Linked DNA regions of Drosophila melanogaster. The main gene of each other region encodes a partner of the protein of the gene in region 2 in a complex. Each region holds a gene or a part of one and is shown on either strand. Other genes may lie near its edges. A codon is read from its position in the direction of its gene.

Region 1 (9,343 bases), on a different chromosome or scaffold from region 2:
CGATGTGGAATTCTCGTTCTTTGGATACGCTGTGGTCACCGCCGACGTTGGGGTCACAGTTGCGGAGGTGGCCGCCGATGGAGGGCGGAAGGTCTTGCGCGTGACCGAAACCCAGCCGCTTTTATCGCCATCCTTGGACCGCGCCAGTTCCAATATGAATTTGCCATCTACGCAGAATAGTTAAAAAATGGTTTTCTTTACACTGCTCTGATTCGGTATAAATAAACCAAGATACTTACCTTTAAAGAACTGCAAACGACCACCGTAGCCGCCCCAGCTGTTGTTGCCGTGCGTCGATATTGGTGTCCTGCCCATATCAAAGCTTCCGCCGGAGTTGCTTCCCTTGCCGATCTTCGCTGTTCCCGCTGCCGCCGCTACTACTGCAGTGGTGGGCAGTGAGCCTGTTGCAGCTCCGCCCAAGGAACTGTAGTCCAGGACGCCCCCCAGGACATCGATGGTGGGCTTGGACGCAGTAGCTCCAACGACGCTGGCTGCCACTGCGGCGGACGCAGCCATAATGCTACTACTTTTGGGCGTCTTGGCATGCGGCAAAAAGCCATTTGAGGCGGTGGAGCTGGAGGATGAGGGCGTTGTCGTTGTCGTGGGCGTGGTCGTCCTGCTTAAGTTGGCGGGCAGAGGCGGTGGCAGAGGGGGGTAGCTGGTGCTGCTACTGCCGTTTAGGCCATTTTTCAGTAGAAACTTGGCGGCCGCCTCTGCAATTATGCTACTAGTATTGTTGTTGCTGTGGCTGCTCTCGTTGCTGGTGTTGTTGTTTTTGCTGTTGCTGCTACTTGCTGCGTCGTCGTTGCTGTTGTTGTCGTTATTGCTGCTGCTGCCGTTGTTGTTGTTGTTGCTGGAGTGACTGCTGTTACTGTTAATGTTACTTTTATGCTCATCGGTCATTGTTGTCTGTCTGTTGCACTCTGCTACGCTTGTGACGTCATTAAGCAGGGCCTTCAAAGAGAAACATTCGTTTGCATTGGGCAAGTTAGGCACAATTTCGCATTTCCAAACCGCATTATATGGACAATTTAAATACCATTTAATTCATTGTTTTTGTTGTAAATTCCTCGCGCAAAGTTCGCGGCCGGGAAAAACGGAGCCGACGGCGTCGCTAAGCAAAATATGCCAGCTCGGCACGGCGTTAGGAGCGTCTAGCACCATTTTCATGTTTTGGGGCACGGTACCGTTCCCTATTTTTATTGCACACACATATTCTTATTGCATTTTGGCCATTGGCCCATTCCACTGTACGTTATTTAACCAATTTCACAGGCACACACGGCGGGCCGTTCTGCTTATATGTGTTTCTTACAGGCCCAAATGTTAAGCGGAGGCAGCGCACAAAGAGAGCACAAAACGAAGTGCGGACAAGGTGGAGATAAAATGGAAAAAACGTTCTCCAATTACCGTCAGCGTATATATCGATTGCCGAATAGTGTGTGAAAGCGGAGGTCGGTGGACCGGACCGATAATTCCGTGGTCAGCGGGCAGTTGGGGGCAGCTCTATTTCCAACCAATAAACTAATAAATAAATTTAAAAATTATCAACGAAAAACGCAGCTCGGTGCGCTGTGTGACCGTCAACTAAGAACGTCAAAATCCACGGCGCCAGTCAGCATGCTAGCAAATATCATGTTTCCACTGGCCAATGTTATAGTGCTGCATTCGCTGCACGTTCACATTAATGTTATCTCAATGTAAGCTTACACACAGGTCGCTGCAAAAAGCTAGTGCAAGGAACTCCCAAAATAAAATGCTTAATAATAAAAAGAATTGTGTTCTTTGAACTACATCTATTTGGTAAAAATCCTAAATCCTATATTTTTACAATTCAAGTCAAATAAGATTACGAATTCTGGCAATTAGCGATAGTTATCAATGCTTAAAAGCACAATCTTTAGCGAACGATTTTTAAAATAGTAACGGTTTTAAATATGAAATAAAATAAACAACTAAAATCACAATCGGGACAGTTTATAAAACGTAATAAATGGTCGCTTTTTATAGCAATTGTTCAACTCAACTTTAATTTCAGGATTGAAATTGGAAAACTTTGCAACCGAAAACATGCTTTTAAAAATGTTTGATTAAAACAATGTTGTATTTTCACTAATTTATGCTGTTTCCAAAATATATTAATTAAATTTCTAGCACCTGAGATTATTAATTTGGAATACCTGTAGGGTTTTAAAGATTTTCAAGGCGAAAGTTTAAGGATATGACTTAAAGCAGTTAATAATGTTACATTGAAAAGTTCTTCTTTGTCGTAGAATAAAATATTTATTTATTATTAAGTCCAGAAGTTAAACATTAAGCGATAATATGGTATGTTACGATAAATTCCCACACATCAGCTAGGTAAATACTTATGGTTGCAGGTGTCTTTTTATTGCGTATAATACTGTTTGCTCGTTTATCGAATTTCTGGTAATGGTGAGCTCGGGCGGGTTAAAATATATATTTAAATAGCCCTTGCATGCGGAGTACAACCCTTCTTCAGCTTCTTAAATTTAAACACAACTCGTAATGTCGCTTTCGCCACCGCGGCCATCCGCCAATTGTTATTCAGATACTCTGAAGTCCTAATGCAAAATATAATGTAAGTCTTACGCGTCTATCATGTCCGATTATCAGTAGGTTAGTTTAAGTATAGGCTACATTCGAGTTGCTTTTGATATGGGCGAAAAGTCGTCGATTGCACGAGAACGGCTAAGAATATATGCTTAGTAGATATTGCACAAAGTAAAAAGTAAGACATTACAACAGAGGGCACACAACGTAATAAATTAAATTTAGTTTTGTCTTCCGTTTGCCAACATAATTCAAATATCACAGACGTTTTGCCAATTGTTTAACTAATTTGCCGATTTGCTTCATAATTTTGCATGCCAAACTGGAAAACAAAGAGTGATGGGAATCAAATTCAAGCCGCGGGATTCGATACATATGTATGCCTAAAGGTCAGTCAAATGTGGAAAATGTGAAATCAAGTCTTGTGTTGAACATGGCACGTAATTGCTAAAAGGAAAACTGGAGCCACGCCTACGAGGGTAAATTGCTATGCCTATCATCTATGCTTTTCTCTGCGTGTAAGTACTAAGTGTTCTCTAACTGCTGGAAGAATGTGAGTGGATAAATCCGGAGCTATTGCATGCTACCCGATGAGCTCCAGCCCGCATCTAGTGCATGTTGCCCGATGGCAGACCCAAGGCGGCGCCCAGGTTAAGTCCTGCAGGGACACCCACTCCTACTCCCGCGCTCACTCCTGATCCCACGTTGCCCTCGCTCTCACTTTTCCAGGACGACACGGGTATGTGAGGAGCTGGGAGGCAGTTGCGCAGCGTCTGCACGATCTGAATGGTGTCCATGAGGGCTGTCGGGGAAGAGAACGAGCAAGCAGGAGGCGGTCAGCATCGCAGATAGCGAAACCGGTTCCCAGCCAAGGTACTCACTTTTCTGCAGACTCTCACTCTGCTTGCCGTAGGGCTTGCACATCGAGGGACGTATGTAGGTTTTCATCCGCGACATGTTTCGCATCAGCTCCGCAAAGATGCGCACTATCTTGTCCTGACCCACGGCCAAGTGATCCATTCGATTGGCATCGCCGGTGGCCCAGGCTCCGTTGTGCAGCGCCAGCAGATCCTTATTCGATTCTATTGAGTCCAGATTGGAACTGAAATCGGAAAAGTTAAATGAATTCAATTAAGGGCCTAAAGCAAACATTTAAAAGTGATCAATTTACTTTACATATAGCAAATAATAAATAATATTGTAAACAACCTAATTCGTTACTTATCAAATACATACAATATTTTTTGTTTGTTTTAATAAAAAAATAAGTCTTTGTACACATGTTTTGCCAAGAAAAAGAATTTAAAATAATAATATCTAATAAATCTCACCCACCGCAAGGAGTCGGCGACGTTCTTGTGGGTAATCTGGTCCAACGAGGAATGAGAGGAAGACGAAGAGGATGAGTGTGGCGACTGCGATGGCGGTGGCAAGGGATGGTGTCCGTGATGGGCCTGCGGGCCGGCTGCAGCTCCTCCTGCAGCAGATGTAGTCGTAGCCGCCGGAGTCTGCTGATTGGCGGCGACGGCGGCAGCCACTGCCTGCGATTGCATCAGGCCTTGGATTTGAAGATTGGCGGCTGCAGCCGCAACGGCCATGGGATCAAAGTGCTTTGGATCCAGCTGGGCGAAAACTCGCTGCTTTTCCAGCGGACTGAGGTGGTTGCTAAGCTTCTCTAAATTTTGCTGGGCGAGGACACGGTTTTGCTGTTGGATGAGGGCAGCAGTCAATTGCTGCTGGTGCTTGGCTGCTGCTTGCTGTTGTTGTTGCTGCTGCTGCTGCTGTTGCTGTTGTTGCTGCTGTTGTTGTTGTTGATGATGAGCGGCGGCAGCACTGATCTGGGAGAGCTGCGTCTGGAGAGTGCTCTGCTGCTGCTTGGTCAGGTGCTGCAACTGCGGCGGCACCGGCACCTGGGGCACCTTCGCGCCCGTCGACTTGGACAGATCGATTTCCACGTTCGCCGAACTCGAGCTGCTTGCCACGCTGGAGGTGGATCCGGCTGCGGAGCCTCCTGGCCCAGATCCGGCTGCTCCCCCAGGCGGCAGATGCGCCAAGCGCTGCAGGAACTCGGGAGTGTTTACGCCCGGATACTGCTGCTCCATGAACGGCATGGGCGAAATTCCCATGTGGTTTTTATAGTAGCGACATGCGGGACTTGGGCAGGACTGCACCACCTCGATGATGAACTCTTTCTCCATGCCGAACTGATCCCGACCGATGGTGTACGACTCAATGACTGCCCTCACCGTGGCATCGACACTAAGGTGCAGGCCGTGCGGACCTGACATGTGCTTTAGCATGACCGCATTGGCAAAATGCTCAAAGGGCAAGACAATCTTTCCATTGTCGCGCAGTATTAGCCGTCCCTGGGAGTCCAGGGTTAAGCGGTTGGCCAGGACTCTGCAAACGAGGAAGTTATGAGAACGGATCTGAAAAAACCCACAACCCCTACTTACTGCAGATAGGCGGCGCTGGGCAGCATGGCATTGTCCTTGAGATCGCTGAAGCACTGCAGCAGCTCAGCACTGGGATTCCAGCCTTTGTTCTGCAGATACAGCTGCAGCAGCATGTACAGCTTTTCCGTAACATAGCCCACTCCTGGCATTCCAGCATTTGGCTGCGGCAGCATATCTCCGCCTGCCACGCCCCCGCCACCGGCACCACCACCGGGTCCTTTGGACAGAGCCGCCTTCATGGTCTCAGACAGATCCAATTTGTAGTTATCAGGATAGAAATGCTTGGAGTGCTCCTGCAAGGATCGCAGTGATTAGTTCACACAATCGGAAACAGAGACACCCAAGATCTGAGCTTGAAATCGAGCCCTGCTACCTCCACTGCCACCGCCGTCACCGCCCACTTACCAAATTGTTCATTTTCGTCTGGGACTGCGAATATCTAATCTGTGCGGCGCCAGTGCAGCATCCTGGATTCGAATGACCAACGGTTGCTGTCGGGAATCACTCGTCGGTCGGGGGACGAGACTGGGCTAACTGGCGGCCACGGATCGGGGGAAAAAAACTGTATGTGTCCGCCGCCTAATTGTGTTGTCCTTGCAAGGAAGAAGTGGGGGAGGCCATCAGTGTGACCGTCGCACGTCGCGGCCAAAAGCTCTAAAAACGACAGACAGCTTTATGCCCGACTTTCATATACATAAGCAAATAATTTAACATTTGTTGGCGTATAAACATAAACATAAACATTGTTAATGCGCTTAAAAATTTACTTAAGGCATATAGATATTTTTTTGCAACTGTTTAAGATTTGATTAGTACAGCCAATAGTCTTAGCTTTCGCAGAGCTCAAATTCTAATGCATCTAACTGCCAAATATTCTTTTTTAAGCTAATAAAAAAGTGTGCTTGAAATCTATTTGTTTTTTAAATACAAATATAATGATTAGTATGAGCTTATATTATATTATATCCTATAGCTACCACATTAAAAAAGTTATATTTTAGAAGTGAATTGAAAAAATAAATAATATAGGAAAATAATTGTAAAAGCGATTTAGCTTATTATACAATCTGAATTATTTATTTTTATTTTTTATTTATTATTATCTTACTAATTTAATTTTTGCAAAAACCATTCAAACCCATTTAAAAACGTAGAAGTGCAAAAGAATTGACTATACAAATGGTCTCTTTAGAGAGAATAATTAATTAAGTAACCCAACAAATAATTCCTTTACGTAGGATTTAATTTCTAAAATAGTCCTTGCTAATTTACATACCTACAAATTGTATGCAAAATCCTAAGAAAGTAACTAATAATGATGGCAATCACAATTTTGAGCACGCAAGTGCTGGAATATGAAAGGAAACCCAGCAGGTAAAAAGTCTCGAGGACTCATTACACTTAAGGTGGCCTCCTGGTCAAAGGACATTCGGCCGAGAGGGAGTAAGCACCTGAGCCAACCCTCCGGATAATGGCCATTTTGCATGCGTGCCCGGCGAAAATCGGGGGGTTGGGTAGCTATAGCAACACCACTCCCTCCACGAGTCCACTTGTTTACTTGCCTTCCTGGGCGACTTCCAAATTGCAGCTGCAATCGCTCCAGGGAATTCAGTACCCTTTCGAATATTGAAGAGCGAGCAGCGACTCCTAAAATCAGAACAGGATGAGGATGAGGATGAGGTGCTTCTCCCGGGCTATCAACTGGTGTTGTGCTCTTTTCTGGATCGCCTTACAAATTCCAGTGCCCATCTGCTCGCTGACCACCGCGGCCACAAATCCCTCGCAGCTGCCAACGCCGCACACTTTTCGCTTCCAGAATCCGACGCAGTGCCTCAAGAACGAGTTCTACAACCTCAACCTATTCGACTGTGTGCCCTGCAATGAGGTCGCCGGCGGAGATGGGGTTCAAGGAAAACTGCAACCCGACAGTGAGTGGTAGTATTGATCAAACAGAACCAAAAGGGGTGCCATGTGAAGGGGCAAGGACCTGCATGCTACTCAAGAGAAAGTATTCATTTTCAGCTGCAAAAGAGCTGTAATATTGTATATACCAAATTTAATATTCGGTTATTTAAACATTTTATTGGTTTAAGGTTTTGTCATTGAAAGCGACAAGGCTTTTTGCGATTAATATATTTTTTATAGGTCACAGACCTCGAATACTTAAGATTTATTCACATCAGTATTTGTCACTTAGCACAATTTGCAAACTTCACACAAATTTTATTTTGACGATCTCGAAGAGGAAATACTATAATCAAACAATTTTTAATATTAATATATTAATATATTTTTAATATTTCGAACTAATATAAATTAAACTATTGGTATTCTTAATAGATTTCCTCAACGATTTCCTGTTGTTTGATTTAATAAGTAAAGTATTTGTAATCAGTTATTTAAAATATGTATAAATAGTGCAGATAATAAGGACATTGTTGTGTAAGAAAACTAAAACTCGTTTTAGGGGTATTTATACAAAAAAAAAACAAGATAAACTTTTTAGTTTCGCTTTGAATTGAATTGAAAGTTGTATACTGTTTTTATATATATAATATCTTAAAATGATTGATAATTGTGACAAAATGAATAGATTAGTTTATATACATTTTCAATCCTTGATCATATGATAGATCTATGAATATAGGATATGCATTCGTATGGTTAGAAGAAAGTTTTACTATGTTACTGAAATAAAAGCTTCTTGTTTATTGCCCACCCAGAATTCACCTGCTTCTTGTTTATTGCCCACCCAGAATTCACCTGCAAGTGCCCGGCTGGTCATCTGTCCATCTATGAGCGCGGCAAGACGTGGCCCACCTGCGATGAGATTTGCACTCCGGACAGGAGCGACAATTGCACTTCGGTGTGGCTACCCCAGCCTCGACCTACCAATCAGTGCAGCTATCGGTATCTGAACTCCACGGCAGCCTTCGCCAGTCAGTTGCCAGTGCATCCACTCATTTCCGGCATCATACTGACCCATACAAATCCGATGAGCAGAGCGGGAGATTGCCATTCCTGCGATATGACGCACAATTTCCGGTATCAGGACTTCTGCTTGGCTAGCACCCTGCTCCGACCGTATGTGCACTACAACGCCTTCTGGCAGGCGACAACCACGCCGGATTCAAGTGCACCCAGCCGCTTTGGTGAGCTCAAGTTTGTGGCCTTCTTTTGCCTGACACTGCGCAACGATACCGCCTGCCAGCAACTGGCCAATCTGTGCGTGCTTTCCCATTTCTCCCTGGAAAAGCACTCGCCCTGCAGCGCCTTCCTGCTTACCCAGGTCTCTGATGTGGTCATGAAGTATGCCCACTCCGGCGAACAGGTGCGATCCCTGCAGCCGTTCCTGTTCTACAAGAAGGGTCGGGCTACCAAGGAGCTGCTTTCGAAGACGCTTCAGCTGCCGGATCGCAAGGAGCTGCGCCTTTTTAGCACCACATTTGGTCTAGATGGCGGACTCAAACGGTGGGGTGCCTTTCATCCGGAGATGCTGAACATGTGCCAACAGAAGGCGCCTAGCCTCCGAGTGGCTCTACCCAAGAGGGAGTCGGAGGTATCTTGTCAGCTGACCCTAGAGCGTCTCATTGACCTGGCCAACCAACGGCACAACGCCGAGTTTCTCACCGTGTTTCTAAACTTCAGTAGTAACTGGCAGTATTTGCTTCACCAGTTACCTGTACTCATCGAGACCCTGACGCCGGAAAACCAGGTGAGGAGTGTGATGTACTCAATTAGATAGAACTTAATCTCAGTTCCGTAATTTCTTCATCTGTCCAGCGACCCCAGCAGGAGGAGTGGCAGTTGGTGAAACGTTTCCAGCTGATCTCCGCCTCGCCGCGGGATAGTCATCTTCACCAGACCATGCCGCGCTACGAGGATGCCCACAAGCTGCAGCAATATTACTCCTTACGATATGTGGAGGACATCGAAATTCGTTATACGCTGGACAAGGATCAGCCGGATAGAGTGGGTCTGCCGCTCATTCGCCTGCGATACCGACACATAGAGATGGGATCGGGAAATATATCGCTCTCCCAACTGTACCCATTCACCCTGAGGATTAGCTACGACCAAGTAAAACGTGGTTGGGATTGGTTGATCTTGGAGGTGGCGCTGCCGCTGCTCCTTTTGCTGGCCTTTGCAGCTGCTGTCTTCCGTCTCCAGAATTTGAGAAGAAGGCGGAAGGCGGACCTCTGTCAGATGAGCAGTCTTATGGAATTTCTCCTGCAGCTGGCCGGAAATGTGGCATATGCTCTGCTGGCGACTACTCTGCTGCTCCTACTGCTGCAAGCCTCCAATTCTCGCCT
Region 2 (9,343 bases):
ATTTCCGATGCATTTCGCAGTATTTTTTTTTTTCATTTAGATCTTTGGAAATTCATAGCAAAGAAAATCATAAATATTTCAACCGCATCTAAAAATCGTCTATAAACTTACATCAATTGTATATTTAACTAGAATTACATGTTTTGTGTAAAGGTATATTCATGCACATACAAATGTATGTATGTATGTCAGTGAGCTTTTCGAGTTATGTACAGAGTTTTATGTGTCATTTACAATTCTATTGGTTCCGAACTAGCACTAGATACATGTGTAAAGTATGATTCACTTTAGAGAGAAGGGGACACATTTTGGTTTACGTCACGAGGGGTTGAAAATTAGTATGAGAAAAATTGTCAATCTACAAACTAAGGTCTTCGATAAAAACTATAAATAACTTAGGATACATATGTGTGCGATGCAATAATCCTGCACTCAGGATAAGCCGCTACCATGACTATTCCATTGCACTTCTGAGATGGAGGGCAGAGCCTGATGCTGCTGCTGTTGTTGTTGCAAGCCACCGCCGGCTGCCGGCGATCCCGCATTGTTGCTGTTATTATTGTTGCTAATGCTAGTGATGTTATTATTGTTATTGTTCTGTCGCGCTCGCATCACATCCTCGGCCTGTGTATTGCAGTGCGGCCGAGGACCTGGTTCAGGTGTATACGTGAAGGTCAGACCGGTGGCATAAATTATTCCATCGTTGCGCACCAGCGAAATGGGCACCTGCGTGGGCTGACGTACCTGCAAGGACCATTAAAAGTAAAATTTATAGCGCGTATTAAACAGATTTACATTGGAAAACCTACCCAAAGCCATTCGCCTCGAAATTGTGAAATCTCCGGCACCACGCATAGCAATGTCTCTGTGCAGCGGTACATGGTTTCCGCCTCCACATCGCCAAACCACACCTGCAGATGCGGCGTAAAGTTGTCGCCACTCAGCTCTAGCATGGCCACATCCCCGCCGCCATTGAGATTAAGGGAATTAACGATTGGCACTGGAGTGACTGGAGAACTGGAAGAAAACACGAAATGAAAACTAATCCATTGAGTTGTAAGTAAGCTATACTTACGCCACAGGACCCATGCCCTCGTAGAACTGGTACTCAGCCTTGTCGGTGGATATGATGGTCCAGCAGGCGCCGTCATTGATCATCTCCTTGTTCGGCTCCTTGGGGCACGGCGTGGCCTGGAACTGTATGATTTTCTCCTGCGACAAACAGAGATACATCCGATCCGTATCCTTCATGTAGAAGGCGCATTTGTGCAGCTGAGAAACGGGATCGTCGGCTTCCAGCAGGGCCATCTGCTTGTCTACCTTCCGGATGATCAGACGTGGCAGGGCCATGCCCGTTACGGAGCACACCAGTTTGACTGTGGCTCCGTAATGAATGTAACCATCGCGCACCTGAAACTCCTCCGACTCGGACTCATTGTCATCCAGCAGGTGTATCGTAAAAGCTCCCCATTGTGTTGACGACGCATGAAAGTGTCCGTTCTCCACGTGAAGGTAACGGGTGGAGACAGTCTGGGAACGCAGGCGATTGAACAGGGCTACATTGGTGCCGCTGGCTATGCACAGATCGGCATTCTTTAGCGACTGTTTCTTTTTGGACGGCTTGGATATAACCTTGATCCGTTTCGAGTTAAAAACGCCAATGTCATGACCGTTTCCGTAAAACATCTTCACCGACAGCATAAAGTGTTTTCGCTTGTCCGAGTCCGAGATGAAGAGCGTCTTGGCCGCACAGTACTGCTTGCCATTGAGATCCAGCTGCTGCATATCCTGGTCACTGCTCCCGATACCGATGAACGCGCATAGTTGTGCTCCCTGTTCGCCCTCGCCCTGCTGCAACATCTCCTCGTACCGCCGGCGCCAGCCACTTCCGAACAGATAAATGCACGGCGGTGGGCAAAAGAATCGCTTCTCATTGCCATAGGACTTTTGGGCCACCTGGAATTCACACAGACAGACAGACAGAGGCGCACGATGGTGCAGGGAAAATTCAATTAGTACAAATTGCCGTCCAGATTATCGGAAAATCATATCAAAACCGCAAGCAATGCAGCTTTGTTAATTTTCTGTAATTAATTTCAATTATTTTCATTGCGGACTGGACCGCGCTCGCGTTGCTCAATTTGCGGGCAGTCGAGTGTGAAGGATTCCCATTTGGCGGCAGTCGTCGCTTGAAGATCGCCACCGCTAAAAGCAACCGCGACAATTTTATTCCATTTTCATGTCTGCGTTCGCCAAAAACCGCAAAAATGTAACACTTTAAAGTGGACAATGGAAACACTAGCACCTTTAAATAGTGGGTGTGGTTTTGGCGTTGCGGACTGACCGATTAGATTAAAACTAAATTATAAAAAAAAAATAAATATCTTGTAAAGCATACAAGTAATTTTCAAAGAAAGGATACATCGTTAAACTTGAAATAGAAAGAAAATCTGAATTTAATCTATTTAATCTAAAAAATCGAATAATTTAGGAAATCGACGTACAAAACTGACCAAGTTTCTAATTTAAATGAAAGTTAGGATATCCTACGTTTCTCCAGTTTGGGTTAATATATTTTTAGTAATATTGAAATAATGTATTTCAAGCTTCAAATAATTTAATTAAGACTTAAGACTCAGGAGTTCCCTTGTATGTTTTAGAATATCTTGAATACTAAATCCAGACCAAGCACCTGATAATACCGGCTTAAAAGTGGAAATCCTTTCGTACCTTGGCGTGCAGGATAACGATGACCATGTCGTTGCGCTCGCGCATGTACTTCTCCATGGCGTCCCGCGTGAGCTTCTTCTCCTCGATGTGTGGCCGGTAAGGACCCGGCAGCAAGGACATCTGCATTTGTTGTTGATGCTGCTGTTGTTGTTGTTGTTGTTGCTGCTGCTGCTGCTGTTGGTGGTGCACTTGCAATTGTTGTTGCTGCTGCTGCGACGACGGCGGCTGCGGACCGGGCAGTCCAAAGTGCGGCATATCCTGGCTCTGTTGTTGCTGCTGCTGGTGAGGATCGAGGGGTGAGCCGTTGGGATTTACAACCGTAGTTTCGTAGGCAATGGCGGGCGGGGCGGCGGCGTTTAAATTAAATTGGCTGTAGCTCTTCATTTATGCACATGTCTCCTTGCATTGAACTTATTGGAATTTTGTTTGGATCTTTTCTATTATTTCGTTTTTGGCTATTTGGCAAATTCGTTTGGCACTTTATACACTGTTCGCTGGTGCTGTTTTTGTTGTTGTTGTTGCTGCTGTATGTTTTCTATTTTGTTATCCTGCTGCACAAACACACACGCAGAGCAGCTGTCGTTTCTCTCACGCACTCTCTTCCTCTTAACCGCGGATTGGCTTTGTTGTTGTAGCTCAAGCTGGATTTGCGGCTAGCTGCGATTCACGACTAATCACACATATTTCAGCGTTTCGAGCAGATCTTGACTAGCGACTAGCGGTAGTGGCGGCTGGCTTCTGTTTAAGGCTGCAACTAGCGCTCGAGTTATATTTATAATATGCTACAACTAAAAAAGCGACTGAGGATGTTGATGTTGTATCGATAGTCCGATAGGCGCTTATTTATGATAGTCGCTGCCTACCGGCGATATGTTTGTCGCTTCACAGCACTGTTGGTTGGATTTGGATGGCAGTGGGCATTTGGTTATTTTATAGCCAATTTGGAGTAGCTAATATATTTTGTTTTAACTTTGCAGTTTCTGAATACATTTGTATATTTATTCCCATCACATCACTGTTAAAGATATTATTTCTTATATCTATAAATACTTTTAACTGATGCGAAAGGTATCGATTTTCATTGAACACTTCGATTTTGAGCGCCCACATTTAAAATTCAAGGTACAAACTACCAACCTTCTTGTCTAACTGTCCATGCATTTTTAAAACGGGCCGTGGGAAAGTACACATGGGTGAATTTAAAAGATAATTCGCGACTTTAGGCTTAAATGTAACCGTTTAAATAGGTTTAGTGGCAGAAACACACAATATGCAACTAAAAGCTGTTAATTATGTATCAGAATGTAAGCTGTAACTCATTAAAAAACGAATCTGGTGGAGTACACTTAGTTATTCATATATTTTAGCAGTCACAGTGTAAAGTGGAAAAATCTACAATCACTGAATATCATTTGCAATCCGATAGGCAGGTACAATCGATATCACCGCTCGATTTTCGGTGCATTGCCATATCTAACTTGTGAAATCAAAAATCGGTTCCGTTCGGTGCTTGAACTTTTGAGATATTCTAGAAACACATCCACAATGGAGAACTTTAAGGGTCTACAAAAATCCCTATACATATGGACGGACAGCGCCGACTTGGACAAGCGCGTGGAGCAACTAAAGGCGGCCACTGGCGGCGATGTGGCTTTGGAAAATGTGCACCGCCTTTCGTTTTGTAAGTTGCGTGCGGTGCGGTGTGTGTGTGCTGTTTTTGACTAGCCAGTGAGTCAGCAGATTAAAATCAGTGATGTTTATGCATTACAGCTTCCTATGCCAACTCCAGTTTCGACCTGATTGTGATCGAGTGCGCCCAGCTGACCGACAGTTACGTAAAACTGCTGCACATGCTGAAACCGAGTGGCAAACTGCATTTGGTGTCCTACATCGGTCCGGCGGCTAGTTTGCTGCAGGAGATCAAGCTATCCGGATTCATAAACTGTCGCGAGGACTCTCCAGATGCTTTGACCGCCGAGAAGCCTGGCTACGAGACAGGATCCTCAGCCAGGTTGTCATTCGCAAAGAAGAACGCCAGTGCAGTCAATGTGTGGAAGATAAGCGGTGACGATGAGGAACTGATCGATGAGGAGGAGCTGCTGGACGAGGAAGACAAACAGAAGCCGGATCCGGCTGGTCTGCGTGTCTGTAGCACCACGGGCAAGCGCAAGGCGTGCAAAAACTGCTCCTGCGGGCTGGCCGAGGAATTGGAGACTGAAAAACAGAGCCAGAAGGCCACCGAGAATGCCAAGTCAAGCTGTGGAAATGTGAGTTCTCTTAACCCCGATGTGAGTTAGCATTAACCTCGATTATAACTGATTTCTTATATGCACAGTGTTATCTCGGCGACGCCTTCCGCTGCTCCACTTGCCCCTATTTGGGCATGCCCGCCTTTAAGCCCGGTGAGAAGGTGCAACTGGCCGACAACCTCCTGAAATCCGACATTTAACTTAGGCTCACCATGGTATACCCAATCAATCACATTTCAAATAGTTTATTAAGCTGACTTACTAACAAACAATAATGTCATAATGTAAATACAAAAATGCACCGCGTCATAAACACAGCATGTAGATTTAAATATCCAAGTGATCACATTTCGCATGGTGTACCCTTGATGAGATCGCGGTTCTGGCCCATCAAAATACGATAGTTGACGGCCGAGGGATCGAGTTCCTTGTACAAATATGTCGGCATCTTGTCGGACAGCACCCAAATAGTGCCTTCATTGTCGATTTTCATGTCATTTGGAAAGACCAGAGTGTGCGAATCGGAATCGATTAGCCCCTGGGTGTCCGGAGTGTATGGACGCTTGATGTTCCAACAAGCAATGGCGTCTTTGTTCACCTGCGTATAGAAGATGACGCCGGTCTCGGGGTCAAAGACCTCGGCGGTGGACTGGCCATTCATGCCACGGTCACCAACGTATTTAAAATCGTAATACGAATCGCCAGCGGTCACGTGTGATTCGTTTTGCAGCACGCGGTTCGAAACCTTGAACTCCTTGGTACTGGCCAGGGCATGGAAATAAATGTCCTTGGAGTGATCTGGATTCATTGGGCCCACGGCCAGCCCAAAAACGCCATCCGTCCACTGGAAGTTCACGCCGCCCACATTGAAATCACCATGCAGAGGATCGAAGTGGAAGAAGTTGTGCTTGACGCGGTAGGATTTGTCGTTCCTCAGGGAGTACACAATCACACCGTAGGCACCCAAATCCGGAATGTAAGCAAAGGCATCTTGGCACTCCGAGCGGTCCGCATCCACAACCTAAATATTGATTAATTCGATCAGTTTGGAATTTAAATAATACGCCTATGCATACTCACAATATTCGCAAAGAACGAGTCCTCTTTGGTCTGATCAGCGGGAATGGTGAAACGGCGCAGTAAAGTATCTGTTTTCAAGTCGAAAACCAGGATTGAATTGGGCGTAATCTGCTTGGGACTGCCCAGGATGTCGGCCAAGCCAGTATCGAGCACCCACAGGCGATCGCATACGTCGACTTGAATTCGGAAGGTGGAAATGACAGTGGAGTTGTCCTTCAGCTGGATGCCGGCATCTTGAGCCTTGTCCGCGTCCAGACGTCCACCGGATGGTGTCTTTTGGTCCTGTGGCTGCACATCGATGGGCAGCTTGTTGGCCTCCCAACTGGGATACGGATGCAGCTTTGGCGACTTCTCCGTCGAATTAATGTCGATGTAGTTGAGTGTGGCAGCAACACCAGCCTTCCATCTAAAGGGAAAGTAGATCATTTAATAATGAGGAGAAATAAATTAACTAAAAAATTTACATTTCAGACTTGTTTAGTTACTAATTACATTTAAACCTGACACTGGCAAGTAACAAATTAATAACATTAAAAAGTACCATTCACCTGCGCAATTATTATGACTGATTGGATATAGTCTAATATAAGCTATAGTTTTAATTTATATCTTAGCACTATCAGTTAAAACTTTGACGGCAACTATAGCTTAAATAATTATGCTGTATTATCAACAAAATATACTTTTTTTACGTATCTTATTTTTCGAAATGTTTTTAAATCGAATTTTGTTTTGATTACTCATATCTCCCGAAAAGCAGAATGGTTTTCGGGGCTTTTTGGCCAATAAGCGCATCGGTGGTAAATCCCAAAAAGGTGACGTCACAAAGACTTTGTTTACTAGTTACCTAGTTAGCCTTTTATGGGATCCATAATATTCCATAGAATTTTCCGATCATGTGTTTTCTCTTATTAATTTATAATTAACCTCATGTTACGATTTGCATTTAGAAACCACGATTTAAAATGCAAAATAGACATACACAAATGGGGTAAAAAATGATAAAGTTAACTAGCCAGCGAGGAAACCGGTTTCCCCTCCTGACGCTCGATGATTTTGCAAGTCTAGCTTGACATTTAATTACAAACCAAGCCAACAAAAAAGGTAAATAATAAGAAAAAAAAAGAAAACCTAACTACAGCTTACCGTAAGTTTGTTGTCTCTTTTTTTTTTGTCTATGAATTTGGTTACTTACCTTGGCACAGTGACAAAGATTCTGTTTTGCCAACGCTCCACGCCCAGCGGCAGGTTGTTCTCCACGATGTAGTGGCCATTCGACTTGGCCTCCGCCTCGGCCTCCGGAGTGGGCCAATCGAAGGCCAGTTGCTTCCACGAGAACTTCTCCTCCAGCTTGGCCGATGCAATCCGGCTGAAGGCGCCGATAAGGCACACCATTAAGCCCAGGCTCAACATTCCTAGTGGGTTCATTTTGGATTTTTCAATTATTCGATTTTTTTTGGATTGCTCGTTTCTTTTTTTTTGGACCTCCGTTCAGTTCGAGTTGAGCGCGCTAACTGCAAGAGCTTAGTTTGGAATCGGGCTTAATATGCTGGCTTGGATCCCAAACAAGCGGAGCTTTAAGCTCACAGTACACAGATATTCGATCCCGTGGAGTTATAAACTGTTATACCAAGTGCCCAGCTGCAAGTTAATGGTTATTGCGATGGGCTGGGACTTAAAATTAGCAACATAACCGGAAGGAAGATCTGGAATTTACTTGTTAATGCTTTAAAAATACTTTTTTGCTCGCTCGAATAAAATCAATCGAACAGTGAACCTCGTTTTCAGTTTGTAACTAATGGGTCAATTACTGCATTGATATATATATAACAGAATGAAAAAGAATTTTGAGTATTTAAAATAAAATAATATTGCCAAAGCCTTTACATGTTTAAAAAAATTTTAAGAAATTTTCATTTAATAATTATTAAACTGCATAAACAATTCAAACTCTGATTTATGAATAAAGGTTATTGATTCTCTCATTTAAAATGCAGCACGAGTGGGATGCGAAGTAAATGTTTGTTGCTTTTAAGAACGATTTGTATTTTAAGAAACGAATTTGTGGACAATGTCTGATAATTGAGTCTGAAATTTTAAAAGCAAATGAACTTGAAATTTAAAAATGTTACCTGTAAGTTAAGCCTAAAAATATTTGACTTCTCTAAAAAGGCACATTAATTGTTTTAAAAATCTTAAATCCCACAAATAAAACAAATTAAGACTAAGAGTAATAATATGGCATAAACATTAAACACCCAAACCAATAAATAACTGTGATATATTTGTTCAATTCTGTTTTGTGTTTTTTATTCAGTAAAATTCTCATTTATTCCGTTTTATTAAACTTTAAATTAATTCGTTAGTGTTACATTCATAAGAACATACCGAGTTTTTCATTACTTTGACCTTATGTTTTTCCTGCATATTGCTACCATTTGTCGTGGTTCATATTTATTTTGTCACTAACAGTAGAATTTCACTTTCTTGTGTGTTTCCATTGAAATAATTCTGGATTTATTTAACCTTTGCTTTTTCTATTTACTCGTATTTATACAACAATATTAGCTTGGCTAAACTGTGTCTTACTTGGCTAGAAGTTCTTCATTCGGCTGTGATTCGAGGACAAAAGCAAATAATTGATTCGGATTCGAAAATAAATGTCGATTACTTGTTGCATTTGTAGATTTGGTTGCTGTTCATGTGGCTGTGTTCAATTCTGTGTTTTTAGGAGGCGCAGCTAAATGCTCTATATACAATATACATGATCTCGAGTTTACACGTCTACCCTAACAGCGTTCCCTATATGTATGTATGTGTATGAAATACAATCCAATTATTAAACTACAAATTCCAACGACTCTTAACAAATATCAATGTACTAGAGATGTTCTTTGCCATGTGTAAATTTCATATATATATATACTTCAATATTTATATATAATCATTGTTTATCGTGTGTATAGTATTCATTTCTTTTGCATGGTTTTCCTTTCTTTATTTTTTTAACGGCTTAGATTTTAAAGTCTTTCATTTCGTAGGAATTTGATGTTGTCTATGTATGTTACTTATAGCACTTTTTGTGATGGATTTATGTTGTTATAATTCCATTTTACTTGGATGTGAGTGAGTTTGAATTGAATTTGTATTGAAAAGACGGGTGAGTGAGTGAGTGATAGTATGTTATGCAAGTGAGTAAGTTAATCATTTGTCAATAGGGTTCAGTTTAGTTTTAGTTTAAATAAAGTCAATTCCTATATAACGACGTCCCCAATTATGCTCGG

Evidence for each region.
Region 1: the proteins of Su(H) (region 2) and H are in contact, whole or in part, in a crystal structure (PDB 5E24), measured with the Drosophila melanogaster proteins. Residues at the interface, in NP_001285948.1 of Drosophila melanogaster: Val431, Leu434, Asn435, Leu436, Ala443, Leu445, Phe460, Val479, Glu481, Ile482, Arg486, Trp489, Gln497, Ile500, Thr512, Gly513, Leu514, Thr515, Phe516, Thr517, Tyr518, Thr519, Pro520, Glu521, Pro522; in NP_732533.1 of Drosophila melanogaster: Gly232 (codon at 264), Gly233 (codon at 261), Arg234 (codon at 258), Leu235 (codon at 255), Gln236 (codon at 252), Phe237 (codon at 249), Phe238 (codon at 246), Lys239 (codon at 243), Asp240 (codon at 240), Ile244 (codon at 156), Leu245 (codon at 153), Leu247 (codon at 147), Arg249 (codon at 141), Trp258 (codon at 114), Val259 (codon at 111), Ser260 (codon at 108), Arg263 (codon at 99).

The regions. Positions count from the first base shown.
Region 1 is NT_033777.3:20,614,195-20,623,537, reverse strand, and holds the start of H (hairless), read right to left. Parts: upstream 1,601-9,343; 5' UTR 1,043-1,600; coding exon 1,040-1,042; exon of another isoform or gene 955-1,039; coding exon 240-954; intron 168-239; coding exon 1-167. Other genes in the region: CG5466 (uncharacterized protein), read right to left, coding at 3,183-3,376, 3,456-3,676, 3,910-4,974, 5,031-5,323, 5,436-5,447; CG15923 (uncharacterized protein), read left to right, coding at 6,694-6,958, 7,787-8,745, 8,814-9,343. UniProt on the Drosophila melanogaster protein: Is a potent antagonist of neurogenic gene activity during sensory organ development. The expression of distinct cell fates by the trichogen (shaft) / tormogen (socket) sister cell pair depends on the level of H activity.
Region 2 is NT_033779.5:15,033,708-15,043,050, reverse strand, and holds the start of Su(H) (suppressor of hairless), read right to left. Parts: upstream 3,564-9,343; 5' UTR 3,115-3,563; coding exon 2,731-3,114; intron 1,957-2,730; coding exon 1,076-1,956; intron 1,018-1,075; coding exon 810-1,017; intron 745-809; coding exon 433-744; 3' UTR 1-432. Other genes in the region: CIAPIN1 (cytokine induced apoptosis inhibitor 1), read left to right, coding at 4,276-4,411, 4,501-4,997, 5,066-5,179; yellow-c, read right to left, coding at 5,323-6,000, 6,060-6,465, 7,255-7,487. UniProt on the Drosophila melanogaster protein: Transcriptional regulator that plays a central role in Notch signaling, a signaling pathway involved in cell-cell communication that regulates a broad spectrum of cell-fate determinations.